Linked DNA regions of Rhinolophus ferrumequinum. The protein of the gene in region 1 interacts with the protein of each later gene in a biochemical or structural test. Links are inferred from orthologs where the notes say so. Each region holds a gene or a part of one and is shown in the gene's direction. Other genes may lie near its edges. The genes, in order: ERBB2, TNS3, SH2D1B and SH2D2A.

The links.
Region 2: the proteins of ERBB2 (region 1) and TNS3 form a complex in vitro, tested with the Homo sapiens proteins (2 studies listed by BioGRID and IntAct, with this or other methods). The link is inferred for Rhinolophus ferrumequinum from reciprocal best matches to the Homo sapiens genes ERBB2 and TNS3.
Region 3: the proteins of ERBB2 (region 1) and SH2D1B form a complex in vitro, tested with the Homo sapiens proteins (2 studies listed by BioGRID and IntAct, with this or other methods). The link is inferred for Rhinolophus ferrumequinum from reciprocal best matches to the Homo sapiens genes ERBB2 and SH2D1B.
Region 4: the proteins of ERBB2 (region 1) and SH2D2A form a complex in vitro, tested with the Homo sapiens proteins (2 studies listed by BioGRID and IntAct, with this or other methods). The link is inferred for Rhinolophus ferrumequinum from reciprocal best matches to the Homo sapiens genes ERBB2 and SH2D2A.

What each region holds. Positions count from the first base shown.
Region 1 is NC_046304.1:36,302,349-36,309,382, forward strand, and holds the start of ERBB2 (receptor tyrosine-protein kinase erbB-2), read left to right. Parts: upstream 1-4,015; 5' UTR 4,016-4,272; coding exon 4,273-4,345; intron 4,346-7,034. UniProt on the Homo sapiens protein: Protein tyrosine kinase that is part of several cell surface receptor complexes, but that apparently needs a coreceptor for ligand binding. Essential component of a neuregulin-receptor complex, although neuregulins do not interact with it alone.
Region 2 is NC_046303.1:1,022,889-1,030,232, reverse strand, and holds the start of TNS3 (tensin-3), read left to right. Parts: upstream 1-4,330; 5' UTR 4,331-4,342; coding exon 4,343-4,420; intron 4,421-7,344. UniProt on the Homo sapiens protein: May act as a protein phosphatase and/or a lipid phosphatase. Involved in the dissociation of the integrin-tensin-actin complex. EGF activates TNS4 and down-regulates TNS3 which results in capping the tail of ITGB1.
Region 3 is NC_046305.1:2,824,305-2,831,686, reverse strand, and holds the start of SH2D1B (SH2 domain-containing protein 1B), read left to right. Parts: upstream 1-4,378; 5' UTR 4,379-4,455; coding exon 4,456-4,589; intron 4,590-7,382. UniProt on the Homo sapiens protein: Cytoplasmic adapter regulating receptors of the signaling lymphocytic activation molecule (SLAM) family such as CD84, SLAMF1, LY9 and CD244. In SLAM signaling seems to cooperate with SH2D1A/SAP.
Region 4 is NC_046305.1:1,171,358-1,178,676, reverse strand, and holds the start of SH2D2A (SH2 domain-containing protein 2A), read left to right. Parts: upstream 1-4,316; 5' UTR 4,317-4,401; coding exon 4,402-4,435; intron 4,436-5,036; coding exon 5,037-5,197; intron 5,198-5,859; coding exon 5,860-6,044; intron 6,045-6,624; coding exon 6,625-6,714; intron 6,715-6,901; coding exon 6,902-7,070; intron 7,071-7,319. UniProt on the Homo sapiens protein: Could be a T-cell-specific adapter protein involved in the control of T-cell activation. May play a role in the CD4-p56-LCK-dependent signal transduction pathway. Could also play an important role in normal and pathological angiogenesis.

The sequences.
Region 1 (7,034 bases):
CAAGGGATAAGCATGGGGGTTAAAGGGGTCCCCCACATCAACTCCCAAAACACTGTGACCAGGAACCATTCAATCTAATTCTCACATTTCAGAAGGCGAAGTGAAGCCTCACACAAGGCCACACAATCTAGCTGTTGTCTGAGGAAAGACCCCCAGATAAATAAAGACATATGTTAAGCGGCCAGCACAAACACACTGACAGCACAGGACTCAGGAACACAAAGTGTGACAGCCTCCCTCCTATGCACAGGCCAGGATGGAAGTCACATGTACTCATATACCTGCGTTCAAGCCAGCTGAGGCTGAGATCACAAGGGCACTTTTTTGTCTTGGCAAAGCAGCCTAGGGAGAGAGAAAGGCCTTGGGCCTGCAAGCCTAAGATGGGGGTGAGAGGGGCTGAGGGAGGTGATCAGGATGCCCAAGGTCAGCGTGTCCGACATGTCCGTTTGGCCTCTCCTCCTTTGTTAACCTTGGGACTAGAGCTAACCCCTGGGCCCAGGGACTGACCTTCCAGTGGTTGTAAGTGTTCTTAAAAGGCTAACTTTAGGAAGTACAGATTTCCTTATCAAAATCTTTCAAATAACTCTCCTGCGGCCCCAGGGAGGCCTGGTGCCTTCCCTGTGGGGACTCCTTCCAAGTAACTAATTCATAAAGACACTTCCTCAGCAACTCATGTCCCAGACTTGAGGCCCTGTGGGGTAGGCCCCAGTTTGTGGCCTGGACCTCGGACTGTGGACCGTCTCCTCCCTTTTTCTGTTTGTTTTCAGTGCTCTGACCCAGGCTGGCTGGTGAGGTAGGCAGAGGGAGGAGACTCTGGTGCCAACACACACACACACACACACACACACACACCACGCACGCACACACATACACACGGTTTTGTGTCCCCCAGTCTCAGCGGCTGGTCAATAATTGACTGGCGTTTCACAGGCTGCTGGTTTCAGACCCCAGTCTATTGACCCTCAGAGGTCATCTCCCTAAGCCAGAGCCCCTTCATGCCTCTTCAGTGCCAGTAGTCACCTTTGCTGCCCACAGGCCGGGTACCTGCAGCCCAAAGACCTTCTCGTGCAGATCTCATGTATCTTTCCTCTGCCCCTCCATTGGCTCCACTGTGTGCTGCAGTTATACCCCTTCTCTGTAGCTGTCTCCCTCCCCAGGGTCCTTCCTGGACCCTGCTGGCAAACTCTCAGGCTCATGTCGGTCCCCCAGCCCCCTCCAAACCTCCACCCCCACCCCCCAGCCTTTGTCTGTCAGATATCCTCTTTCGTTGGCTCTCCTGCCAGGCCATGCTGGAGGGGCAGTGGAGGGGAGAAGCGAATCAGCAGCGCCCACCCCTGCCCCCCTTCCTCTCCTCTTGTCAAACACCAGACAAGGCTTTTTCCCCTTCCTTCCCGGCTCTGAATGGGCTCATTCTCTCTGGGAACCCCGGCCCCTCTCGAACCTCCTCCCGGGCAGGCGTGAGTTCTGACCTCCGCTCCTCCCTAATCCCACTCCCGCCTGCAGGCTCCGCCCCCTCAGAGCAGCCCAATGGGACTGACCATGGTCTCCAGTCCGGGTTTCTTTCTGGGATGCAGAGAGGGTGGGCTTGTCTCGGCAGGGGTAGCAGGGGGTTGGTACGGGTAGTTAGTTACCGGGATTTCTTGGAGGACCCTCCTTTGGCTCCCCTGTAGGGGCCCTGGGTAAGGGTGGTTTCATGGTACCCTTGATTCAAGCTCTGGAGGGGAATGGATGAAGCCAAAGCCTCGTGCCTCAGTTTCCATTATCTTGGAACCTCAAACTTCCTCTTCTGCAAAATGGGGACAGATAACAAGCGCCTCCTCTGGCACCTTAGGACTCAGTGAGATAAGGAGTGTGCCTCTAGGACAGAGTGGTACAGAGTAGGGGTCCAGTCCAGGAAAGGATGGTGCCACAGAAGCGTTCCTGGCTGGACCAGCCCTCCTAACTCAAGGGCAGGGTAGAGTGGACCTGGAGGAGAAGGGACTTCTTTAACACGGACCCTAACACCCTGATTGGTCTCTTGAAGGCTCAATGCACACACGCTCAGGGGCAAGCCGTCCCGTGTGTGACCAGCAAGCGACTCTTGGAGCCAGGTTATCATCTCCTCTCCCTGGAGGGCTGAGAGACACCTTGACCAGGTCCTGGGCTATGTGCTGGGGTGAGGGTGAGGAGCTGATTTTGCTGGCTGTTTGACTTTTTCTTCATTAGCCCGGAGAGGGTCCTGGCCAAATTGGTTGATTCGTTTGAGCCTCCATTTCCTTGACCCTACCCTCTCTAACTCTTAACTTGAACCCTAGAGAAAATAGGAATATTGGTGCCCATCCTGAAAGGCAGCTGTGTCCCCATACACAGTAGTATTTCTTGAACGTTTGTGACTATGATCCAAAGAATCAATCCATTGGACCTCATCACCAAGATACACATACCCTTCCTTACCCATACTTACCCTTACTACATGTGATGTGTGCAAATCTTTTCTATTCCATTCCATTTCTTGAAAACAAACAAAAAAACTTGTCTTGATCATCTAAATTGGTTTCATGACCAACTTTCTAATAAAACCTGACTTGCAGTTTGAACATCACTGGTTAGAGCTGGAGGGGATTTACCATGGTGTTAAGGGAAGGTTATGTTTCAGGCCCCTCATTTGCATGTGTCAAATTTTGTGTTCATAACTTTGTATTCCTTTTCCTAAGGAGATCCCCCAAATTTCATAAGCTTCAGGCCCCACAAAACCTGATCTACCACAGTATAACTAAACCTGAGACCATTTATTGAACAATTACTATATGCTAAGTACTGGGCTGAGTGCTTTAGCAGCATTATCTCCTTTAACCCCTAGCTTAGAATGCCAGATGCTATTTTACAAGGAAGCAAATGGGCCCAGAGAGGCTCAGTCACTTGCCCAAGGTCACACACACACAGCTAATTTGTGGTGAAGTGGAGATTTGCACCCAGGTCATTCTGATCCCAGAACACCCTGTTCTCAGCCCCCCTACTGTAAAAGTGCCTGCCTGTAACCAAGCTGGGAATATGGAAGCAGATTAAGAAATGCTACTGTCCCTCATTCTCCAGCACTCAGCAGGTGACTCTGATCCCCTCTGGAACAGCACAAGCTCTTGTCTGAGGCATTCCAACTAGAGTTACCAGATTTAGCGAATAAAAATAAGGATGCCCAGTTAAATATGAATTTCAGATAAACAACAAATAATTTGTTAGTGTAAGTTGTATGTCCCCTGCAATGTTTTGTTGGAATGTCCAACAGAAACATGCCTTTCTTCCATCCCCTGCCCCCACTCCACGCCCCACCCCCCACTGGGCTTTAAGGACAGGGTCAGGGGCTCCAGGTGGAATGCAGGGTGGGGAGGTGGAATTGAGCAAGCTAATAAAAAGCAAGGGACAGAGGCAAAAACCTCGGATAAATTGGTGTTGAATGCCCCAATGGTAAAGAAACAAGAAGGATGTTTTTCCAAGGACTGAGATGGAGGTCCCTCCAATTTGACTCTCTCCCTCCAAACTTGTAAACCCTCTTAAAATCATGCTTTTCAGACTGGAAAAGATACCTGAAAAATTCGAGAAGGTATCCTAGGGAGTCCTGGAAGCCACAGGTTAAATACAATACACACCCCTCCTCGACTATCAATTTTACCTCAGAATGTGGTGGGAAAATCATTATTGGTATTAAAACGGATAGGCATGTGATGGAGTAGGATGCAAACTCGCCAGAAATGTTTAAAATAAAACGGGCGACTTAAAAGAGACTTAAGGATGGCAGCCTAAAGCCCTTGCCCCAGACTCCCGGGGGAGGGGGCGCAATCACGTCCTGTGCTTTTAGGGGCTCTCTATGGAAACGAATGAGAAGTGCGGCAGGCACCCCGGGCGTCCGGCCGCTGGGAGGGACGCGCACCCCAGGCCTGCGCCGAGAGAGGGAGAAAGTGAGGCCGGGAGTTGCCACTCCCAGGGACTTGCAGGAATGCGGTTGGAGGGGGTGGCGGGGGGGGGGGGGCGAGCTGTGAGCGCGCTGGCTCCCAATCACAGGAGGAGGAGGAGGTAGAGGAGGAGAGCTGCCTCGAGGAAGTACAAGAATGAAGTTGTGGGGCTGAGATTCCCTTCCATCGTGCACGGAGAGCTCAGAAGATCCCCCCCAGGCAGCGGCCCGCCCCTTTGCGGGGTGCTCTTTCCGGCGCCGAGCGCCTGGCCTCTCCGCCTGCCTTGCCCGGCGCCCCCTCAGCCTGGTCCAGCCGGAGCCATGGGGCCGGAGCCTCAGTGAGCACCATGGAGCTGGCGGCCTGGTGCCGCTGGGGGCTCCTCCTCGCCCTCCTGCCCCCTGGAGCCGTTGGCACCCAAGGTGGGTCTGAGTTGGGGAGGGCAGGGAGCCGCGACGGGACCTTGCAGCCTGGGACCCCGCTGAAATCCGCGGGCAGGCGAGGTAGGGGGTGCCGTACGAACTTCCAGACCCGAAGTTTCGGACAGTCCAGGCGCTCGGAGCCGCCGGCCCTCTGCGGGGAGGGGGCAAAAAAAGGTGGGGCAGGGGGGTCAATTAAGACGCCTCTCCGTGTCTCTTTATGGAGACAGGCGCTTTCCGGACTCCGCGACAGCTCCGGGAACTTTTCAGAAAAGTTCTCTGAAATTGTTCAGAAAGTTTCTCTCCAAGGGTGTATTGCACTGTGTGTGTGTATGTGTCCCCTTCTTGAGCCCCCTCGAGCTTTCTCAAAGCCTTTCCAGTTGGCAGCCTCCGCCTCCGGACTGGACCGGGCTGGATTCCCCGGGGGTCCCTCCTGCCCTGCCCCTACCCCTACCCCCTCCTCGCCCCCCTTCAGCCGACTGGGTTTAGTTACTCCAGCTTCAGGCAAGATCGGGGTGTGGAGGGGGAGGTGGGGAAAACAACCTGTCCGGCCAGAGCCGGGAGGAGAGGCTGGCCAGTCGGACTGCGAAGTTGCCTCACGCTGGAGTCGGGGGTGTGGGGGGGGAGGGGGAGACGTTTGTTTTGAACAAGTTTCTTTAGGGCCAGCTCCTAAAGAGACTGTGTGCTTTGTGACTTTTGAAGAGCAGGGGCGGCAGAGGGGTGGTGGTGGGTTTCTTGGTCTGGGGCATAAAATGGGAGAGTTCTATGAGAGGGATTCCTGGGCAGTGGGAGGCGAAGAAATAGGACCAGACAGGGGTGTGCAGAGGGGTGGATTGTGCTGCCTTTCCCCTCGTGCTGTGTGTGGAGAAGCTGATGGGGAGACTACCGAGTGTCTGGCCGCATCTGTCCATCCCGATGCAATAACGATTAAAGCTGGAAATACTGCGTGGTATTTTGCATGTGTTCCCTCCTTTAATCCTCAGAACAACCCTATGAGAGAAGTTCTACTGATATTCCCATTTTCCTTCTGAAAACCTGGGCTTAAAGAGGTTAAGTAGCAGCAAGTAAGTAGTGGGGACCCCAGTGAGCCCCCAACCATACATTTGAAACCACTGTTAATCCACCTTGAACAATGGCGTCACTGCTCCCTGCGGCACTGGGTCCTGGGAGTAGTGGGTGGTCTCCATAGATCAGGGAGTCTGGAGAAGGGGTGGGTGTCATCCTGTCTGTGTCACCTGAGGGCCCCCCTGCCAGAGCATTGCTGTGATATCTGAGGGGTGTTCTTGAGGTGTGTGTATGTGTGTGCGTGTGTGAGTGTGTGTGTGCGTGCGTGCGCGCCCGCTTTGTGTTGCCAAACACTCTCTCTGCTGACTTGGGGACTTGACTGAACTCTGCCCTCTCAAGGAACTCCCTGAAGGTGCTGGGCCAGCTCTGCTGTAAACAGTGGGAGGTGGCCCCACGCCTTCTCTCTGAGGAAGAAGTCTCCTCTCCGGGAGGGAGCCCACCCTTCCCTGTTACCCAGGCCGAGTCTTCACCTCTGACCTGCTGAGAAGGCTGAGGGCTGGCTGGGCTGTCAGGCTGAGCTGTTGTCCTCCTCACCTGGGCCTTCGAGTTGAACAGGTGGGGAATGGCTGGGTTGCTGCAGTGCTGGGATCTGAGGAGTCAGTTCCCCCACGGGAGACTGGGGTCTCCTCGTCACTCCTCAACCCACACTGCGGGTGCAGTCAGATGTTGAATGTGTTGCTGGAAATGGTCTAAAATGGCAGCACACCACCAAGCTGCCTCTAGCACCCTTATTACATCCAAGGGCTGAGAGCTGGGTTAAGAATGTGGGGAGAAGGGGAGATGGAGAAGGACCCAGAGAGTCGGGATTTTTCTGAGATCCTCTCTTAGAGGTCAAGGTTTTATAAAGGATAGCAAACACATCCTTTTTATCTTGCAGAGCTCATATTTAATTCCCATATGAGTCTCCCAACAGCCTCTTTCCTTCTTTTTACTATACTTAGGGAAAGTAACTTCATTTTAATACTCACAGACACACAAACAATTGAAAAGATGGGATCCAATGCAAGAAGAGAAAATACATTGCATTCCAAATACAAAGCACCTTTTCTTTTCTCTCAGTTGGGAATTACCCATACTACTGCTGTGTGAACTTCCCTTTCAAAAAATGTACATCGTGTTTCCTACATGCCAGGTTCTTTATCCATACAGTTTCATTTCATCTCTGCAACAATCCTGTGAAGTTTCTGCACAGATGAGAAAACTCAAGTTCAAATAAATGAAGTGACTTATCCAAGGTTTCCCAGTGACCCAATAATGTCCAGGGCAATTTTGGACTCTAACGAGGAGGCATTAAGAGTTGGTCAGTCTTGTTCCATTCAATAGGAATGGGTTGAGCAAAGCCTCAGGGGCAGCCGGGTAGCCCGACTATTCTGTTACGCAGGTGAATGATCTTCCTTATTTAGGCTGTAGAAAGTGTAGCTCAACTGGCCCCCACCCGTGTCATCGCTTGGCTTTGGAGTTCTCTCTCTCTCCCTGTCCAGCCCATGTCTGCTTCTTTCTTGGGCGCTCCCAGAGTGGCAGGGAACTGAGAGCAGGAGTGGGGCAGAGGCCAGTGGCACTTACAGGGTTGTGGGGAGGGAGACAGCTGAGTGGAAGCATGAGGGGCCAGGGTGGGATGGGGAACTGG
Region 2 (7,344 bases), on another chromosome or scaffold:
ATCGGCAAAAAACCTTCTGCTAAGTATGTCAGAAGTTACCACTTTGTTCCTTAAAAGGAGCCATGAGCTGTGGGAGGGTGCTGGGAGCTCAGGCTGGGGGTTGCCCTGAATTCTGTAGCCACCGACCAAGACATGTGGGTTATGTTGATGGGACTAAAAGACCCCCTTGGGGCCAGGTGCTCCTGCGTTCACCACGTCTTTGAGCACCTGCTGGGACTTGGAGAAGCAGTGGCTGTGAAAGACGGAAGCTGAGGGGGCAAGGCCTTACAGCCCTGGTCCTAATACACCCTGCGAGGTGGCCCCCGTGGTCCCGAGGGGGTGCTGGGTTAGGTGACATGCCTGTGCTCCCTGACTCTCCGTCTCCCAGGCCCCCCACTCACCCCTAGGCGCCCCGGGCCTTGGTTTCCCCTGTGTTCAATGTTCCCCATCAGGAAGTATTAGAAAGTGGCCTGTGCGCCTGGGTGGTAGTGGGGAGCTGACGCCTGCTGAGCAGGGGAGGAGGGTGAGGGATGTCCTGAGAGCCAGGATTTGCCCGAGGTCTGCGCCCAAGATGGCCCAGGTGTGCCCGCCACCAGCACCGCTAGACGGGGAGGGAGGGCCAACTCAGAGCTGGGGGCACGAGAGCAGGCCCCAGACAGCTGTCTGGGCAGGAGCTCTGTAAACCGAAGGGTCTTCTTCGTTGTCAGAGGCAACCTGCTTCTAAGATGCTTTAGGTGTCTGGTGGGGACTCCTTGCCTCTCCAGGTCACAGCACGGAGGAGTGTACTGGCCTGTGACAGATGCTGCGTGTGCCAGGACTGGAGGGTGCAGACATTGGCGTGCCCAGAATGTTTGGTGACCCCAGCGCAGACCCCAGGCTGGGAGCTGGGGCAGGGCCAGCGGGCGTGGGCGCCCCTGAGGTCCGCGTGCAGGGCCTGCTCAGGTATTGTCCCCGAGCAGGAACATTGGCAGGAGAGTTGTGCTGTCACTGCCCTGGCATCCTGGCAAGGCCAGGACTGAGGAGGCGTGGGGGGCCTGTTCTGTTGTAGACTTACTGTTCCCCTTTTACAATAAAGGGAAGGGGAATGGAGACTGTGCAGAGCTTCTCCAGAGTGACAGTGACAGATGGTAGACTGTGGCTCTCCTCGGTGAGGTCCCAGGACAAGTGGGGACTAAAACCTTTCCCCTTCCTCAGCCCCACTTACTGCTGAGCCTTCTGCCACCATCCTCTCTGTCCCCAGGGTGGGAGGCGCCCTGAGGCCACGCCGACGTCTGTTTCTCCTCAGACCTTCACTGCGTTTCCTGATTTCTGTCAGTAGGACCCATGGCCTCATGGATTACTACTGTACCCAGTGGTTTCTAATCCAGTAGTATCGCTCTCAGCGGCCGTCACCAGCCATCCTTGTATCCGTGGCAGAGCCGGCCTCATCCAAGGGCTCCTGCCCGCAGTGCAGCCTGGGTGTCCAGCCCCAGGTGGGTGATGCAGCCCAAGGCCCTGAGCTGGGGCTTGTCCTTGCAGTCTGGTCCCCAGTGCTCTGAAGTCCGTCTTCTGCAGGCAGAACCTCGCTTTGGTTCTGGGCACTCAGTGCAGCGAGCAGCCCCAGCTGGGCGTTGGGTCCGAGAGGAGCATGGAGGGCTGCAGCCTTACGAGGGGCAGCCCAGTGGCAGGGTGAGTCGGGCGAGGCCAGGGTTGTTTGCGCCTGGATGAGTGGGCTCCAGTCCTGCCCTGGTTTCTGGTCCCCAGGGTCCCCAGACTGAGCTGACCCCAAACCCTTCTGCTTCCGCTTGCTTCTGAGGGGGTCGGGTGAAACACTGACATTGACGGCAAGGACAGGGAGCAAAGCCGACTGTTTCCTTCCTACCCCAGCATTTATTGCTCCCGCTCTGTTTTGTGTGTGGAAAACCCCAGACAAAGGTTAGGATTGCAGCCTGGAGGCACAAGACAGATGACCACACTCCAGGGCTATGCCCCAAGGATGAGGTCCGTGGGGTCGGGGGCATTTAACTGGTCAGGGAGGTGGGGCAGGAGGCGGGTCTGCAGCTGAGCCCAGAAAGGCGGCAGTTTTCAGTCAGAAAGGGAAAAGGAGACGCCAGAGTGGGGCCAGCAATCTCCAGGACACAGAGCTGAGGTGTAAGCAGGGCCGGGGAGGGGGGGCCGCTAGCACAGTGGGGAATCACTGCAGGCTCCCAGTTTTGCATTTGGGGAAGTAGCTTGGGCTTCGGGGCAGAGACCACGTCCTGATTGCTGACTACTTGTGGCAACCCCTTGGGGTGTATCACATGCATGTAGTAAAGTGTGGGAGTTTTCTGAATGGTGTACCTTTCAAATAAGTAGGAGACCTAGGGAGTCCCCAGGAGAAGAACCACCATTGTTTTCCAATCGTGCAGGCCTGGCCGTGAGCACTGGCATTCAGCACGAACATTTCCAGAGGCTGGGGTACCCCCAGAGAGCCTGGTCCTCAGGTCCACGGGAGCTTTACCATGTTAGGGGTCACCTGCTGTCTGCTGGGATCAGGGTCCCTCTGCCAGTCCGTGGGTGAGGCAGTGCTGCACCCCGTGGCTTCTGGGCCAGGCGTTTGCACCGCCCTGGACAGCACTGGACAGTACAGTGTGTGTACTGGTCCGTGCCCAGCCTGTGTTAGGTGCTGGGGAAGCAGACATGAATGCGGCCGGGTGTGCTCAGGCTCCTGCAGTCACGGGGGAGAGGGCTGTGTCTGCAGAAAAGAAAGTCTGAAAATGTGAATAATGACGACGGGGGCAATGAGTAGGGCTGGATGTCTGCTGGGCCAGGAGTCGGAACCCAGAATGGCACCCTCCTGGCCTTCTCGTGGTTGAAGGTCGGAGAGCAGCTCTCCTGTTCCACTGCAGAAACGGAAAGGCGGATGGATATTCAGCGCCAGAGCCTGAGAGGTTAACCAGCCGGAGTCCTCGGCTGGGCTGGAATTCGCACATGTGTTAACCATGAAGGCCCTGGTCCAGCCCACCCAGACGACTGCAGAGCTAAGGCATTGGGAGTTGCGAGCAGAGGGGAGGATCTGAAATCGGGCGTTAGACCAACACAGCTCTGAGCTGTGGACGCATCGCAGGTCACTAGAACCACACACGGCTGGGCCTCCGGGCAGGTCAGGTCAGGTCACTGGGGCCACTGCTGGGGGTACACGGGGGGGCCAGCCTGAGGCCAGAGGGTTCCCCAGCGCCATCTGCTCCCGTGCAGGGGCCTCCTCCGTGCCCCACTGGAGGGAGGAGGTGGCCCCAGCAGGACAGGGCCATGGCCAAGGTGGCCTTCCTGTCTCTTCCATCCACAGATGCGGGAGCTCCTGGTGGAATTAAGCCCCACTGCTCGTGTGGACAGCCCACGAGGACTCCATCCTGCGGGGTCTGGCAGGCCATGGAGAAGCCCTCCCTCCCTTCCCCGCTGCCTTTCCCCTCTCCAGGTGTCTGCCTTCTTCCTGTGACACCCTGTCCCCACCGTACAGCCCACCTTCACCTCCCAAACTCCAGGCTTCACATTTCCTTCTGAAACCGCAGCCCCCATGAGCAAACTGGGACTGGAAATCGGATGTGATGTGGGGAGCTGGGTGGCACAGGGATGGTGGGGGGCAGGAGGCCGGGGGCCCTGCCCCAGAGGAAGGCTCCTCATCACTTGCTTTCAGCGGGGGAATCCCTACCTCATCCCTCTGGAGCAAGGCTGCTCCTTGTTTTTCTTAGTTGAAGAGGCAAATCGGAAAGAAAGCCTTTCTTTCTGCCTGACGCTTTTCCTTCTTCCCACTAAACCCACGGTTGGAAGGCAGCAGGAATTACTAGCGATACTGGCCATTACCCGAGCACTAGGTGACTAGACGCATTCAAGACTTCAAGCCCTGAAGCCAAAGCGCCTGCGGGTTTTGATTTTGCACCTTGGTCAGAGTTACTGGAGAGCTCTGAAATCCTAGTCGGGCGGCACCCTAGCCGAAGGCGAAGGTAATCCAGTCGGAGGCGGCAGAAGCCTCGCCCCCCACGCCTGCCCCGGGGGCGTTTCTGCTCCACTCTCCCTGGGTTTGGCTGAGAAGCCTTCGCCTCCTTTCTGGAGCTGCGGTCTGAGGTGGGGGAGGGAGGGCTAATTCGTGTCAGATGGAGGGGCGCCGGGGGACCGTGCGCTTGCTCGCCTGGCTTTTGTTCCCTGCGTCTGACTTCTGAGTGCGGAGTGGAAGTGGAGGTGGCGGCCGTGTCCTTTCGGGCCTCCGGGCGTCGAAATTTTCCTGGGACTCCCAGACGCAGCGGCCCAGAAGGCACCCCTGTGGGGCACCGCCGCCGCCCGGAGAGTTGGCGCCCGCCGACGTCCTCACTTGGCCCGGCTGGGCTCTTCCCCGGCGCCGGGAGCCGCCATGCGGCTGCGCGCCCTGACTCGGGGGCCGCCTGGAGGATGCGCGCGCGGGGCCCGGGCGCGCCGGCACCGGCGCCAAGTGAGTGGGTGCAGGACGCTGGGAGCCGGGGAACCCGGTCGCTGGGGGCGCGGGGGTTGCAGGGCGCTGGGATGAGGGGGCGCCAGGGTGCGGGGCGCTCAGAAATGAATGCTTTCGGGCTGTAGCCCGCGCGTCCCGTGTGCGCTCATACTCGCGGCCGTGCACGCTCTGTGCAAGTCTGTACCTGTGCCCGTGCACCCTTGTCTGCGTGTGCACGTTCACGCTTGTGCCCTTGGTGCGCGTGCCCAAGTGTGCTCATATGTCCACGGGTGCGCGTGTGTCCTTGTCTGTGCCCCAGCGTGTGCGCTTGTGTACCCTTGCGTGTGGGCGCAGGAGAGGAGGAGAGATGGAAAGCGGGCCTTGCCTGGTGGGAGGCGGGCGCCCGGCTGAGGCCACAGAGTGGGAGACAGTTCAGGATTAACTTTCTAATCCAACCACCTCTTGAACAGGCTTCCTTGGACTCCATTCAGGGAATGGAAGTAGGACATGGGCCATTACGCAGACTCCCAGCGCAGCCCGTGTTGTCTTGCAAAGGAAAGGGCACTCAGCTCTGTGCAGACGCTGGGATGCGCTGGCCTGTTGCAGTAGTACAAGTTCCTGGCGGCTGCATCCGAGACCCTGGTCCACGGTGGGGCCTCCAGAGGCTTGATTTAAACAGAGCGAATGTGGGAGGGGCTCCCCGCCACCTCCCACCGGACCCGCAGCCCTTTCTTTGAGTTCAATAGTTGGGCCTTGGTGACATTCAGTTTCCTGGAAACTTTGGTAATGTTCTGAGGAGTGAGAGGTTGTCAACATGTCAGCTCCTTTCCCTCCTTCTGAGTTGTGTAGTGTCCTCATTTTCAACTCACCAGCCAGAGGGTCTTGCTGGGAAGCTTGAGGACGAGGTGTGGTGTGGGGAGGGTCCTGGGTCCTGTGGCTGCCAGTGGATGGACACATCTCCAGGAAGGGTCAGTCACCCCCCAGTTTGGGGCACACACTGTCCCTGTGGGAAGTTTCGTGGCCCTTTAACTTCGGAATCCAGCCGATTTGTGTTTTCACTGTCTGCCTTCCTGGACTGCTGAGGTTTCTTCAGGTCCCCAAATGCACCCTGGATCTTCTTTCCTGAGAGGAAGACAGAACTTGGGTTTTGCTGGTGTAGCTTTGTGTGGGAGCCCCTGGGAGGGAGGTCTGGGAAGCTCTGCCTCACCACAGAGCAGAGTGGGGTGGGGGGTGTGGCTCCCCTTCTGCACTCAGGGGTGCACTTCCTTCCCCAAATGTTCAGATTTTTCTTTCTAAAAAAACTCACAGTCAAGACCAGCGCTGACCACCAAGCACCCCTCAGGGTGGAACCCCTAGCCTTGCCCTCTCCCTTCCCAACCGCCTGCTCCAAACAATTGAATGCCATTTAGATTCCTGAACTGAGCCTGCTCAATACTGCAGTACCGAGGCCTCCCCTCCCCCTGTGCTCCTGGGCCCCACCTCTTTGGGAGAAATGAAAGCACCTCTCAGGTGAGAACAAAGGCTGTCTAATCCGCCTTTGGGCTCCTTGTGCAGATGCCATGTCAGCAGATGTCATTACACTATCTGAAATGAATCCTCAGGCATCCAGCCACTGAAATGGGTCCAGCCTCCCAACAGCACCTCTGCTGTTTCCTTCTTCCTCTCCCAGCTGTGGCCCAGCGGCCACGAAAAAAACCTCAGGAACACAGTGGCTCTTTCTCCCTGGTTGGAATAAAGGTATTTGTAAGGAATAAAAGGTCACAGTGTTTCCTCCTTGGCCCACAGACTGGCCAATTCATTTGGTCAACAAATATTAATGGAGGGTCCACAGTTCAGTGTCTGCAGGTGCCATGCAGGGCTCGCAGGACAAAGGATAAGAGCCCGTCGTCCTGCGTCTAGGAAATGACAGTGAAGCACAGGACCAAAGGCATAGAAACAAAGAACTGAAACTTGGGGGGGTGGGAGGAATGGATGTGCCAAACTGGGATTATGAAGGAGGGCTGTGTTTGTCACATGCGTGAATGCTTCCTCCTGTCTGAGCATGAGGCTGGGCTGGGCACCAGTCCGAGCCCATGTCCCTTACCCACTGGCTGTGTGGTCTCTGTCTGGCATCCTACAGCCCTATCGCTGGAACAGTGACGACCGTGGTTATGGCACGGAAGGGTCCTGCCAGTGCCGTGAACTTCATGATGGCAGCACTGTCATTCCCCCATGGAAGGAAGGTTCTCAGAAAGTGTTCAACCTCTTACAAACCCAGACACACATATGAAGACACATGGAGTAACAGTGCCTTACGGGCTGTAGAACACATCTTCAGGGTCTAGTCCATGGGTAGTGCTGGCTCTCAGTCCCACGTGCACGGTGGAGTTTCTGGGAGCTTTCAAAGAATTCACATTCTGGCCCCACCTCCTTAGTCTGGGGTGAAGCTGAGGCAGAGCTGTTTTAAAAACTCTGCCATAGCAATTCCCATAGGCTTCCAGTGCTCACAGCCGGCACCTGGGTGAGCCCTTGGTCACTTACAGTAGCTCTTTTAACAGGCAGGAGGCAGGGGGTATCTTTCCTCTTCAAGAAAGGTTGTGACTTGCCAGGGTCACAAAGCTTGTACTGTGGGTGGCAGAAGTGGTGACACGGCTTCTGCTTGGTGCAGGACACTTTCTCTCATTTGATAATCTCGACAAGATCAACCCAAACACCAGGAGATAAGTGCCCAGAGTGCTGCCGGACTGCTAAGGACTGGGGTGGGGATTGGAGTGATCCCCAGAGAAAACTGTTGCCAGCATTCCAGAGAGCTTGACTAGCAGGGGAAAGATGGCTGGCTGTCCCACGCATGCTCTGTGAGCTTGGAATGGCTGAAGCATTGGTACAGCTTAAGGAGTTTTGAATTCACTTTGATTTATTGCTGGGTATGGAATTCTAGGTTGGCAGCTTTTCTTTTGGTACTTCAT
Region 3 (7,382 bases), on another chromosome or scaffold:
AGAACATCCGGAAAACAGCAGACAAAACACCGCAGTGGGACTCGTGCGTGGTGGACACTCTGCCTTTACAGTCGGTCGAGTCAGAGTGGAGGCGACATTAGGGCTTGCAAGGGGTCCACGGGCAGGGTGAGGGAGGGCGCTTTCTACAGCCACCGGAAGGCTGCAGTGAGGAGAACCCCACCTGAGCCAACTTGGCACGTGGCCTCACTGAGGGGACCGTGGCAACTGAAGAAGTCAGTGACAGAGGCCCTAAGAGGTCTTTGGAAAGTCTCCAGATTCTAGAAAATGAGACTTACATTTCATACAAGTTCACTGTGGAAAACTGAAACAAAATCCAGAGGTATACAGAAGAAAGCAGAAACCCTCTAAACTCATGCCATGCATAAGTGATCCTTGGGACTATTTCGGCAAAATTCTTTCTAGACTTCTCCCTGTGCATTGACATACACACGCAAGCATTGCACACTTACAAACACACAACCACACTCGTGCACAGATTACATTTTTGAAAATTTGCCCACTATCTCTTTATGTTAAATTCCTAAAAATAGCATTGTTTGGTCAAAGACCTGTACATTTAAAACTTTGACATGCATTTATAAAAAATTATCCTGCCCTCCAAACACTGGGCCAATTTACCAGGTGGAAATTTTTTAAAGTATTCCTTACGGACGTGGGTTTCCTCGCTTGTGTCATGTCACGAATATACAAATGACTGGAAAGTGAGTCCACTCGCATCACCAGCACTCAGCCAGGAAGTGGAAGTTACCAGCACTGGGCCCCTCCCAACGAACCACGCGCTCCCCCCACAAAGGTAACCAGGGGCCCCCCTCCAACGCCACAGTCCGTTGTGTCCACATCGGAACTTCACGCAGTGAGCACTGAGCAGCCCCCAGTGTGGGGCAGCTGCAGCCCCTTCTAGTTCACGGCCACATGGACCCACAGTGTGATTGCACGTTTCACAGACAACACACTTGAAATGTTCTGTGGAGAGTGAGGTGATTCTTCCTGACTCCAGTGCTGGGGGTGGGGGGCCCCACCCTAAGCTGTGTCAGTCACACACCCCTGTGAGGAATGGCAATTGTCTCTCGATCTGTGAGCCTTGCGGGTGCATGTGTGCAAGCATGTGTGTGTGTGTGCATGCGTGTGTTTGCGTGTGTATGCATGTGAGTGTGTGCGTGTGCATGCGTGTGTGTGCGCGTGTGCTGGGCGGGATTGCGTCCTTTTCTTGGTATCCCCAGACACTTTCTTTCATTTATTTTTTCGTTTTTTGTTCTTTGGGTTTTTTTTTGTATCTCCATGGGAGGATGGATGTAAATATATATTTTCAAATCACTGTCATGGGTTTTTTCGGGTAAATACCCAGAAGCGGAATTGCTCTATTTTTAATTTTTTGAGGAACCTCTATACCAATTTACATTGCCACCAACAGTGCACAGGATTCCTTTTTCTCCACAGCCTCTCCGGCACTTGTTATCTTCTGTCTTTTTAAGGACAACCATTCTGAACATGTGAGATGACACCTCACTGTGGTTTTTTTCACTTGCATGTCCCTGAGACCCAAGGTCATTGAGCAGGTTTCTGTCTGTCTGTTGTCAATCTGTATATCTTGTTTGCAAATATGTCTATTCAGGTGCTTTCCCCATTTTAAAATTGGATTCTTTGGGGTTGTTTTGCTAGCGAGTGGTGTGTCTTTACACATGTGGATATTAACCTCACATGTGGATATCAAATGTGGTTTGCAGAACAGCTCGCCCACTCTGTAGGTGGCCTTAGCAGGCTGTTTCCTGACGTTTCTCTCCATGAGTCACCTGCATTCTTCATTTTATGGACAAGTTCTCTCCCTTCTACAGGCTGTTGGGCAGGTTATGGCCACCAGTTCACAGCACAAAAATACACCTATTTACAGGCATTCCTAGAGAACTCATCTCCATTCATATTTCCTCCTCCCACCCCAGTCAGTCCTCTGTGCCCTCTCTTTCTTCTTTTCCTCATTTCCTTCCAATTCCTCGGTAAGGGTCTCTGATTAGCCCATCTCAGGTCAGGGCCTACCCTTGGCCTCCCAGAACGTTCCATCTGGGACGTTACTATTTCAAGGTGTGTCTCTAGAACAGTGAGATTTGAGTACCAGCTGACACACGTCCTACGGAATGTCCCAGACCTGGATGTGTCTGTCTCGTGACAGTCCCATAAGACTTAGTGATACAGCCTTGACTCATTTCTGGTCCTGCTGTTTGGGGCCCACCTCAGAGGGATCCTCTGTGCTTCCTGCTGCATCCAAGTCTGGCTGTCCCCCTCTGGGACAGGCTAAGTCTGATCAGTGGGTTCAGGTGGTGACAGTTTGACCTCTCACTGGTAAAGGTCATTATCAAACTTGCCTAAAGTTTTCACCCACTGACTGTTTTTGCCCGAATTATTCCTTTCAGGAGGTGTTACAACACGGACTTGAGAGGGTTCTGTCAGTGAGTAAACACATGTCACTTTGCTAGACTGTCCTCCTTCCCAGTGTCACCATTTTACACTCCAATCAATGATGCATGAGACGTTATTACCCTAGTTCACCCCAGCATGGCCAACCCACTGTGTCCAAACTTGATTTTCACCAATGTGTAGGTGAGAGATGTTATCTCAGAGTGGAATCAACGTGCGTCACTCATGATGAGTGAGGAGAGGCGGGTAGGTTTTTAAATGTATAAAAAGGCAGGAAAACCCCTGTGATAATGAACAGACTCCCAATTACTTCCTCCTTTCTGTAACTAGTAGCCTTACACCAAGCTTGGTACTCAAGCAAGTTTCCTCTTTCAGCATTAAACGTTCTCTCCTTGACTGTCTTTATTCCCGAGAAATTAGGTAGCAAATTGCCCCAGGCTGCTCGAGAGAAATTGGGATTTGAAAGTATCTCTCTTGATTGTGTCACTGCATGCCGCTCCATGACACCAACGGCAGAGCAGGGGGACTTCCCCTGGAGAACACAAGTGTGTGGGCTGCAAGGAAGTCCAGTGGCAGCCAGACCTCACGGTGGCGATCAGGACAGCTGACACCGTCGCCTCGGCTAAAGTAAGGAAGGGCCGTGAACACAGGTTTGAATTGCCATGGGACGTACCTGAGATACGGAGCCACTCCCACAGATATGTGACTAAGGCAGCAGGACAGGAAGAGAAATTCCATTCCGTTTATACCAGTTGACACTGGATTACAGATACGCTTACATGGCTTATTTATGTGAAATTACTTAACCATTGATTAATGACTCAATCATCTGTGGGATGGTTTGGTTGCTCAAAGGAAATGGGGAGATGGGGGTGAAAGGGCATAAGCTCCTGTGGCCAAACGAGAACGCGCGGGGATGTCGTGTCCTGCATGGCGACTAGTCAGCACTGCCCTGCTGCTTGAGAGTTGCCAAGTGGGTAGGACTCCGTGTGCCCCCCCACAGAACGAAATGGCAATTACGGGACGTGATGGAGTGTTCACTGGCCTGTGGTGGGAGATCGAGTTATCAGGTCGTACGCCTTGAACTACACAACCTTATATGTCGATTAGGTCTCAGCCAAGCTGGGGGAAGGCCTGAGAAATTGCCCTCAGGGCCGCTCTGACCCTCAGGTAACAGGATCCAGCTTTCCCACGGTATCAGCCGATCAAGGTGGAAAGAGATTTCCTCATCAACAGCAGTGTGTCTAAAGGGGGTCAAGTGTCTCTGGCCGGATGATGCTTCCTGGTCTCTCTTCATGGGGACACGTCACTGCTTTGCACACCCACGTGTCCCTCCCACCTGCGCCTGCTACTTGTCCCCAAAACGCAAAGCTGAGGATGCTGAAACTGGCCTTGTTCACCTGTGGCAAGGAGCCTGAGGCAGGGGTGGGCCGTCGCCCCATGGAGTCCCACTGCGTCCTCCCCCACTGATGTCTTCCATTCCTCGTGACCTTTGACCCGTGGGAGTCCTAGCCTTTTCTGTCCCAGTGAGTCTGCACGTACCTGGGCCCTCGCAGCCTCTGAACACTTTCTGAGCGCCCGTTCTAAGCTGAGCACAGACCAACAACTCCAGCAGAAAATGGCATTCTTTAGAGCATGAGCAGTGCTGTGTTCCCGGAAGGGCCACCAGGAGCCAGAGCAGGTGACGCCTGGTGACTTCGGGTGCTGCAGCAGGCTCTGGGGAGCGTGACTGCTCCATGGCAGCCCCAGGGGAGCCCCATGTTCTCTAGAGTCTCAAGCACACTGTCGCCCACAGGTATAAGTCACACTTCGGCCGAGTACAGCCAAAATGGCTTGGTCACATACCACCTCCACCCTTCGCATTTCCTGCTCTTGCGAAATGCGTGGAGTCCACAGACCAGCCTCAAGTCACGCCCACTGGCTGGAGCAGGAAGGGGTATCTCCATTTGGCCAGCTGCCTCTGCGTCTCTCCTCAGAGCCACCCCTGACTCTGGCCTGAGTCCTAGGGCCACAGGGCGCGTCCCCATGGATCTGCCTTACTACCACGGCCCTCTGTCCAAGACTGACTGTGAGAGTTTGCTGCTCAGGGAAGGGGTGGACGGCAATTTCCTGTTACGGGACAGCGAGTCGGTGCCCGGGGCTCTGTGCCTCTGCGTCTGGTGAGTAGCCTCGCCTACCACACATTTCAAACCTTACATGAGGGTAGTAACGATAACCAAACAGAAAGGAAGCCATATTTCACTCTGACGTTGCAGCCCTGCGAGCAGAGGGAGACAAGGGGGGACCCAAGACAGCGGGGAGGATCGCGACTGTCCTCATCCTCAGCACGCCCTGCTCTCCCTGGTGCCACGGCCACACGAGCAGACTGTGTGCGGCCGCAGAAGTGGGGTGCTAGGGAACCTGCAGGAAGCCTGGGAGGTGAGGGGACACCCCTAGTTAGCCTTGCAACCAAGGTGCTCTCCTGCAGAGTCTGTTTATTTGGTTAAGAAAAAGGCCAGGGGTCCTTTGTGAAAAGTCTACCTGAGAGACCAAGTTTTTACACGGATTCTGTGGGCTCCACTTGCAATCCTTCAAATGCTAATAACAGTTCAATTCTGCTAGATTGGTAAAGGGCTGTGGCTTACGCCGTTCCCTCTCACCCATCTTGTCTGCCGAAGCAGCATAGGCCAGCACCGTGTACAGATGGAGAAACAGAGACGTGGGTTTCTCACTCAGTTTGTTTGTGTTCAGATTCACCCGGCGGTTCCAGAGTCTGGCTGACTTCAGGGTGAAGTTCCAGGCCAGAGTCAGCCCAGGGCCCCGTGAAGGCACCTGATCAGCCTGAGAAATAGCACCCCAGAGGTGTCAGTGGGGCCTAATACCTTTCAGTACTCTCCACATTGGGGGGACCACTGAACTTCTTCTGTTCGTTATAGGAATGAAAACCCAGTGCATGCATGCATGCTCCAGTGTTTCTCAGGACGAGGGAGTTAGGAGGACAGAAGTGACAGCACAGGTGGGGGTGGAGGGCACCCCCTCTTTATACGCTGCAACACAGGCATGAGAAATGCAGCCCTAAGGTGCTAGCAGTTTGCATTTTCAAGCTATGGGTAATACTGACAGTGATTTCATCAAATTTTCTTACTCAAAAGAGGGTAATTCTTCTTTTGAGATTTGTGCAATCACATCCCTTCCCCTCTTTTAGCTTTGGTTGTCTGTCTTCTGTTTTACCGATTTATTTCCAGTTTCTATGTATGAAGGTAAAACATTTTTTTGCCAAAAGGACAGATGCACAAACGATAACTACAGACCAATTTCAATTTCATTTAGTATCAGTTTTCAATAACCTACTAATCAAATTGAAGCCAGTAACATGTAAAATACATTCAAGTATGGTCCAATCTAAGACATCAAGGATGGTTCCCTGTCAGGAAAATTATTAGTTTAGAGTTTATTAATTAGAGTTTTAAAAAAATCAGTAGAAAATTAGGTAAAGTATAAGAGGAGGCAATTATCTGAAACAGAAGTGTGGAGAAGACATGAGAAATTGCCAGATCTCGCTTATAAGTAAAGAAGTACAAATGAACAGAATAACAGGACACCCTTTTTACGCTCAATGGGCAAGAATCAAAACTATGGAAATGCCCGAGGAAGTCAGAGTGGGGACAGCAACTCCGTGGTTACATGGCAAAAGCATAAAATGCCTGGATCAAACCTTTGGCCCCAAATTTCACTAATAAAAACCTATCTCCTAGTTAGTGTCCACTGCAAACCAAAATCCAGTAGGTATTCCATCAATAAAAAGGATTTATTCAGGAAAAAGAAAGGATTGCAGCCCGGTGCATGTTGACATGGACAGTCAGGTGAGGTTTCTGCTGGGGAGATGGAAAAGGTCTTTACAAAGGGGACACTCGGGGGACAGGACACTCAGGAGAGGGGCCAGAACCACAGGTCCCTGGTCAGCATAGTGTTCCTGCAGGGCTCTTATGATGACAGGGAGTGGGGTCCCCTCCCAGACACCCTCCCGATTCTCTCCAGGTTAGGATCACACAAGTATGTGCAAATCGACACTGACAAGACTGGATAAATCCATACCCGGTATGAGAAAACCGCCTGATCTATTGTTATGTGAAAAAAGGCAGGATGCAAAGTATGATTCCATTTGTGTGTTTGTTTTTTTTTAAAAAAGGATGCCTCTCTCCTTGAATATGCATATAAAATTTCTAGACGGTATATAACTTATCATCGTGGTTACAGCTGGGACATCTAGGAGGAGTGAGTAGGGAAAAGGGTATGGGGTTATTCTTTTCATGTGATGACTTCTTTCCACTGTTTGAATGTTTTACGTGCATGTGTTACTTTTGTAATTTCAAAAAATGTTTATAAAAATGCAGTGACGGTGATGGAAGGGGAGCTGACTCTGGGTGGTGAACACACAGTGTGATTTATGGATGATGTGATTCAGAATTGCACAACTGAAATCTTTGTAATTCTACTAACAATTGTCACCCCAATAAATTAAAAAAAAAAAAAAAAAAAAAAATGCAGTGAATTCTACTGCCTATTCCAACCCTGGGCTAGGGCCTGGGCAGAGTCTAAGGAGAGTCCGACATGTTCTAAATAAACAGAGCGAGGTCAAGTATAAATTCCAAAATAGACAGTTGTGTTCAAATTCAAGGACAGAGATGAGCAGAAAAGCCTCCAGAGGAGGTGTGATGAGCTGGGGCTTGACTGGGTAAGATTCGGTGACCTGGAAACGGGGTGCATGGGACTCTAGGGGGCAACGCAGGGATGGGTCTAGAAGACGGGTACTTTAAGGCACAGGCGACTCATGCAGGGTCCTGGGAAGGTCGTTTGGAAACCCACTTTGGGAAAAGTAGATTTGGGATATTATTATGGCGGCTTAACAGGAGGATTCCGTAGACAACGGGGAAACCTGGCTGGTTTCTGAGCAGGGACGTGTCAAGACTGGT
Region 4 (7,319 bases), on another chromosome or scaffold:
AAGCTTTCTTATTTTACAAAAGATCTTTATTAAAATATAGCTAACATATGCTATTATATGAGTTTCAGGGGTGCACCATAGTTATTCAACATTTCTATACCCAAAGAAGTGATTTCCATGACAAGGACAGCAACCATCGGACACCATCCACACTGTCACCGTATTGTTGACTAAAACGACTACAGTCATTTTAATTTTTCAGTTACAATTGACTTTCAGTATTATTGTATATTAATTTCAGGTATACAGCAGAGTGGATAGACATTTATATAATTTACGCAGTGATCCCCCGAATGAGTATAGTCCCCACCTGACACCACACGTAGTTGTCACCATATTATCGACTATTCCCTGTGCTGTACCCCACATCCCACGACTACTGTGTAACAGCCAATTGGTGCTTGCGAAGCCTTTCCTGACCTCTCTCCCCCAGACCCTTTTGTCCCAGGCAGGAGGACCACTCCTTCCTACACCCGCTGAACCCCATGCTTCTAGCTTAGCTCCTGTCATTCTGAATCGTCTAGGATTGTTTACCTGTGTATCTCCCCTACCCGCATGTCTTATTCTTGTAGTCCTTGACACGACCTCACACTCCAGCACATAACTGATTGTCAGTGGCTGCTCGATGAATGAATGATAGCAAACCAGCCAGGGCAGAGGGCAGAGAGGAAAAAGTACTGAACCAAATCTTAGGGTAAACCTACCTCCTAGTCTGCTTGAGCATTTGCTTCTCCTGGCCTCAGTTTAGCTCATCTGTCAAATGGAAAGTCCACTGCCAGGCTCACGGCAGGATGCCTGAGCTGGGACATCTGCCAGCCGATCTGCTTCCTCCTTCAGAGGCCGTGGGTGATGTTTGGGCTGCACGCGGGCAGTACCAGGAGCCCGCAACACTGGCTGCCATGACTCCCTCTCAGGCACAGCGTCTACACGCTGGACCATGCTGGACGAGAGAAGAGGGGACCTGTTGAGCCCCATCCCCTCTAGACCTCGAGTTCCAGCCCCCAGAGTCTATGAGGTGCCGACACCCTGAACATCTTCCTGTCCTGACCCCAAAGACGCCCCCTCAGCTTCACAGATGCCTCAGAACGCCTGGAGCTTCCCTTGCTCCTCTGGGGACCCTTGAGACCACCAGGATCCTCTCCACTTGTCCATGGTCTCCCCTCCTGGTGGCCTCCAAGCACCATGGGACCTGACCCTCAGGCCACCCAGAAGCCCCTCTGCAGCCTGTGCAAACTCCCAGCATCCAGTGTCCTCACAATCTCTCTGTACCCCTCTGGGCACTGCCCACTCCGGACACACGGCCACTGGCCGCCTGGCACGGGGACTCCCTACAACCCTCCTGCCACTGCTGCTCCTGCCAGCTCTCTCCTGGGTGGTGTTGGGATTCAGCCTGAGGAAACTTCTGGCAGCACACACGTCCCCAAATCACCCAGGCAGGGGAGAGGAGAAGGAAAGAAGTGGGGCGGCAAGGGGGTCCAACCCAAACCCCACCTGCTCTTCACATAGCCCCGAGGCATGGCCCTGTGCTTGGGGCGCCCTTTTCACCCTTGACTTCTAATCAAGTTCCAGCCCAGGTGCCTGGGGACTCCACGGCCTGGGCCCAGGCCTCCAGACAGGGACAGCGAGTGATTCCATTTTAAAAACGAAAACTGCTTCCGCTGCAATTATGACAAAGTGTATGGAGTACTGGGCATGGTTTCTAGAAGCGTGCGGAGCAGAGCGGGATTGCAGCCACACCGAGCCGCGCCTGGGCATCACGAGGCTGCACAGAGACGCTCCTGCCGCTGTGATCCATTCCAGGGCAGGTTACAGAGCAGCGGACAATCAGCGTGAGGGGTGGGGACCTAATTCCAAGCAGCACCAATCCCCTGTGTCTCCTTCGCAGCGGGATGGATGGAGACAGAGCCCGTTTCCGGGCTCCTCCCTGTCCAATAGGCAGAATCGCAAGGTGGGGTGACCAGGATTCTGGATTCTCTGCAGAATCTGGGCTGGGAAGGCGGCCCTGTGGGCTGCAGGGGCTGTGCAGTCCCTCCACGCCCTTCCTTTCTGCCTTTTCCCCTGTTCCCATCTCCCCCAACACCTCTGTAACCCAGGCCCAGCCCCAGTTACAGCTGGGGGGGTTGTTCTCTTCACTAATCCTCTTTCTTCAGTCTTTCAGAAAAACACTCGACCTCTACCTGGAAGGGGGCTATGTGATCTCACGGACCTGAAGCTCCCTTCTTGGGGAATAAGAACACATGTCTGTACAGGACACATGTCTGCCCTGCACTGTGGTGTGAGCGTTGACTTGCAGGTGTGGGACACACGTGTACATGTCCTGAGAGTCTCTTCGTCGACTCCTTATTTCCAAAGTCTTGCCACCTCCCTCAGAGCACTTTCCGTGCGGCCTGAGCTGACTGAAGTCCAAGGTGAAGTCCTAGGTCTTCACAGAGCACACCCTGAGCCTGTCTCTCTGTGTCCTGACCGTAATCCTGTCTCATCCCAAACAGCGCACAATGCAGGAGCCACGGAACCTGCTCCCTGAGTGAACACTGCGTCCAAAAGACGCAACCACTTCTAAGTCCCTTCCTGTGGCATAACCTTGACCAGTGGACAGTGGGAGGGAACAGGCAGCTGGGGAGGTAAGTCCCCTCCTTTCTCCCGCCTGTGGACTTCTTACTCCAAGGTGTGGTTCTACCTTGTACCCTGTCTGGACAAGGGCCCCTTTGCCAAGTGAACAAAGCCCATCAAGCAGCCATGGTGTCTGATTGCGGCTCATTTTGAAGTGGTAACCAAAGCAGCAATGTTCTTTTGCATGTTTTTCTTGGGTCACCCCTCTTTTCCTCGTCCTCCTCACCCTGAGCGTGTACCTCCCAAGGAGAGGGTCCCACTTGGATGCTTGCATTGGGACCTGCTAAGACACTTGCTAAGCTTGCCCTGCTGACTGGAAAAATGAGCTGGGTGCTTCCTCTGTCTAGTAGACAGTAGACGGCAGGGATTCCCACCAAGCTGGTTCTCCTCCCCTTCGGGGCGTATGGAAGAAGGCACACCCTTGACTCTAGAAATGAGCCCGGCCACGCGACCTGCTTTCACTACTGATGTGTTAGCAGAAGGAGCGCGTTTCATTCTGGCGGGGGAGGGCATTTAGGAAGCAGTGTGCCGTTCCTTGTGCCACTCTGTCCTGGGTGCAAGGCCGCACCCATCCAATCCGGGGGTGTCCCCTCCAGCTGCATGACCACCGGTGGCAGCCCTAGTGCCACTGTCCCAGCAGCTACCCTGCAGCACGCCATTTCTTCCGTGCATTTCACCCGTCTTCTAGAAACACCTTTCCCCGTCTTCCTCCACAGCACAGCTCAGTATCTTTTTCTGACACCCCAAGCCGCACACGCGCACCAGGGGCTCCCGGGGGCCCGCCCACACCACTAACTCCCCGCTGTGAGTATTCATGGGCACATCCATCCCGCCCCACACAATCTGAGACAAGATCCTTTTTCTCTCTGGGTTCTTTGCACCAAGAACAGTGCCTGGCACAGAGCATGGACCGTTGGCTGTCACGGCGCGAGAGATCTAGGTTTGGCTTCAACCCTTTCACCAACTTCTGAGACATGGACGGACCCTGGCCAAGGCGCCGCTCTGAGCTTCAGCTTTCCCTTCTGGAAAATGGGGATAATGTTCGCAGTCCCCTTCTCGTGTGTGAGCATCACAAGAGAGAGAAACTAGTCCTCTGGTGGCATTTAAGACCAGCACTGAATAAAGAACAACAAGGGCTAACAGTGGCCCAGCTACTAGGGGCCTGCCCAGCTGGAGGCCACCTCCCCCACCCCTCCCCCAGGATTGCTGGCTTTGCCCGCCCTGACTCAGCTCCTTATCTGCTGGAGGATGAAGGCAGGCCCCCTCCTTTCACCTCTCCTCTCAGATTTTATATGACCTCAGAATGTCATTCCAGAAGTCTGCCCGCACCCTTCCTGCTGCAGCACTGCCCGCTCCCCTCCTAGCTCTCCTCCTCAGGTGTCCTAAGAGGACAATCCTGAATATAAACCTCCAAGGATCCTGCAGCCCTGAGGCTGACCTCCCCACTGCCACTGCTCAGGGCAGAAGCAGAGAGAGAGGGGGAGTCCCGGTCTGCAGGGAGTGGACAGAGAATCGGGGAGCCAGGTCAGATGGCAGTTAGGACTCCCCAACAGCCAGGCACAGAGTGACACAAAAACCCACCACCACACCGCCACCACCTTTAGCTTCCTGGCTTCCGGGGGAGGGACCAGTGTCTTACGACTTTCCATGACGTGGGTCCTCTGCCAGGGCCAGGGCTGTGGGGAGGCGACATTTCCTGCCCTGGGGGCTGGGGTGACAAGCGAGTTGCTGAGTGTGCACACCTTGTGGGAACACACACACACGCCCTGCTCCCAGGCTCCTTCTGCACCCATGGAGTTCCCCCTGGCCCAGGGAGGCCCCCAAGGTACGTGTGACATTGAAGAATGTGTGTCGGGGGGGACAAGACCACCAGGTCCCTGCTCTCTCTCAGGGCCAGAGCCCCCAGTCAGAGGACGGGGCCCCACCCAGAGCTGGAGCTGGCAAGGCTGATTGCTGGTGCCCACAACCCCTCTTCCTTCTCTGGGGCTGCAGGTCCACTCAGCCCTGAGAACAAAGGTGACAGGGTCTGCTGTATGCTTCTTAGGGAGGAAGGAGGAGAGGGCAGGAGGGAAAGGGGAAGGCGCAGAACGCTGGGCCAGAGGAGGGCCTGCCTTCCCTCCCTGACTGTGGGACCGACTCCGGGCCACCGGAAGGCCAGTTGACATCTCAGATCCCCTTCGTGGTACCGTTTCCAGGACAAGCCTCTCTGCTGCCTCAGCCCTTCTGTGCCCCCTGGGCCCCTTACTCCTCTTCCCTGAGAAGTGCCCCATGTCCCACCTGCATTTCTCCTCCTGTCATAACCGTCCCTTTCCTCCAGGTCCCTGGTCACAGGCATGCAGGGCCCCTCTAAGCCTGCAGGGCATGGGGGACACGGAGACAGGCAGCCCCTCACTGAGAAGCCCCAGCTGTCCTCTTTCTGCTCACAGGGAACCGCAAAGCCCCCACGCCAACCTTCAGCACCTTTCAGCCCTTGGATGTCACCAGCAGGGGCTGCCAGGGCCTGGGGTTGCTTCCGAGGGCCAGGCTCCAGGCCCTGAAGGTCGAGGAGGCCCAGCCCAGCCCCAGAGCCCCTGCTGTCCACGCCTCGGTGAGTGGGGGCCTGGGCGTGCAGCAACTTCATCTGCCCTCAGCCCTCCCCTGGGGGAGCACTGGCAGATGGACAGGGGTGGGAGATGGCAGGGGTGATGTGGGGCACAGAGGGAGGGAAGGAGACAAGCTGGGAAGCTCAGGCTGAGTCCCAGGTGACCAGGGCACAGTGTCTGAGTCCGGAAGCAGCCATCTACGTCTTTGTTCACGGCCTTCGTTTGCCCAGCACACCCTGGTCTTCTGGCCCTGCCAGTGCCCCCTCCTAGGTGAGCGCTCCCTCATTCTGGCCTGGGGGGGTGACCTCCTGCGTCATTCCTCAGCCCAGGGAATGACCTTCTGGCCACTGGAAGGCCTCGCCACATTTAAGCACAGCCTGCCACTTGCTGCTGCTGGAGCAAAGGCCCAGGAGCAAAGCGGGGAGCAGAAGGCCTGCAGGGAAACCAGGACAGTTGGAGCTAAAGATGGGACTTAAGTTAGACCTTGGGAAGGGCTTCCTGGGCGATTCTACCCTAAAACAGTCAAGTAGGATGGGGGGTTGGGAGTTTCCACCCCACGCCCAGGAGGGGCTGGGGGTGAGGATGAGAAGATGGCCGCTGGCGTGGAGGCAGGTGCAGGCCCACTAGTCATGGCTCCTTTCCCTCCTGGAACTCTCCCCCTAACCAGGCATCTCCCCAGGCCCCAGGGGCTGCCGCCAGCCCAGAGGACACTGGAAAGGCTGACGAGGGGCCTAGGGAAGGAGACCAGCCCCTGCAGGCCGAGACCCGGGCTTGGTTCCAGAAGACCCAGGCCCACGGGTTCCTGCAGCATGGGGCAGCCCCTCCCTGGTTCCACGGCTTCATCACCCGGAGGTGAGTCACGGAGGAGGAAACAGGCCCAGAGAGGCCTGGGGACAAGTCCTGCGTCTCAGGAGTAGGTTGAGGCTACGAGTCCAGGTATATCTCCTCCTGGAGGCTCCCGGGGCCATTCACTAAGGCACCTCTCCTGGGGGAGATCGCGGAGAGGCTCCAGCCCAACCCCCTCAGTGCCTCGGTTTCCCTTCTCTAGGCTCAGTTATCCTCCCCTATCTAAGGCCTCGCTCCTCCTGGTCTCCGCCTGTGTCCCTCGGGCTCGCCCAGCCCTCTGCTCTCTCTTCCCTCCCTTGCAGTTCCTCAGTTTGTTTCTCCTGTTCCTGTGTTTGCCTGCTCTGTTCCGCTTGTAACGTGTGACATCTAAAAGTCTATTGCCATCCCTGGTGCTGCGCGGCCCTTCCAGGACAAGGCCAGGATGCAGGGCTGGAAGCTGTCCTGGGGGGCCCACATCCCCTCTCCCACCTCCACTCTTCTCTAGCCACTTCAGCCTGCTTGGTTGGGGGTAAGGGTCCCCCATGAGAGCTGGGAGACAGCAGAGGCTGGAAGAGTCAGAGCAGCGCTGTCTCTTCTCCACACACAGGGAAGCCGAAAGGCTGCTGGAGACCAGGCCGCAGGGGTGCTACTTGGTGCGGTTCAGCGAGAGCGCCGTGACCTTTGTGCTGACTTACAGGTGAGGGGCGGGGCGTCCCGCTAATCCGAGGGGCTGAACTTGTCGACCCCTCTTTGCTCCGCCCCCCTTCTCCCCACTCCCCACCCCTGCTACTGAGAGTGGGACACCCTGGCACAGGGCGGGTGGCGCTGGCCGGGGAAAGGGAGCGGGTCGCATCCCTGGTCGCATCCGGACTGGCGCCCTCCAGGAGCCGGACTTGCTGCCGCCACTTCCTGCTGGCCCAGCTTGAGGACGGGCGCCACGTGGTGCTGGGTGAGGACAGCGCCCACACGCGGCTGCAGGACCTGCTGCTGCACTACACCACGTGCCCGCTCAGCCCGTATGGGGAGACGCTCAGCCAGCCCCTCGCCCGGCAGGTATGAGCCACCCCCTGACACCGCCCTGACTCTCAGCCGGGGACCTAGGCCGTGCCCCTCCTCACGCAGAGCTCAGGCCGCAGGACAAGGCCCTTTCTCCTCACAACAGATTACCCAGCCATGCCTCTTGCCCACACGTCTGGGCCGGAAGCCCTTCCAGAAAGATGCACGCTCGGGGAGGGGCATTAAGAAACCATCCCCGCCGCACAGAGCCACCAGGGGCTGAGAGTGAGAGTGCCCAGACAGGCG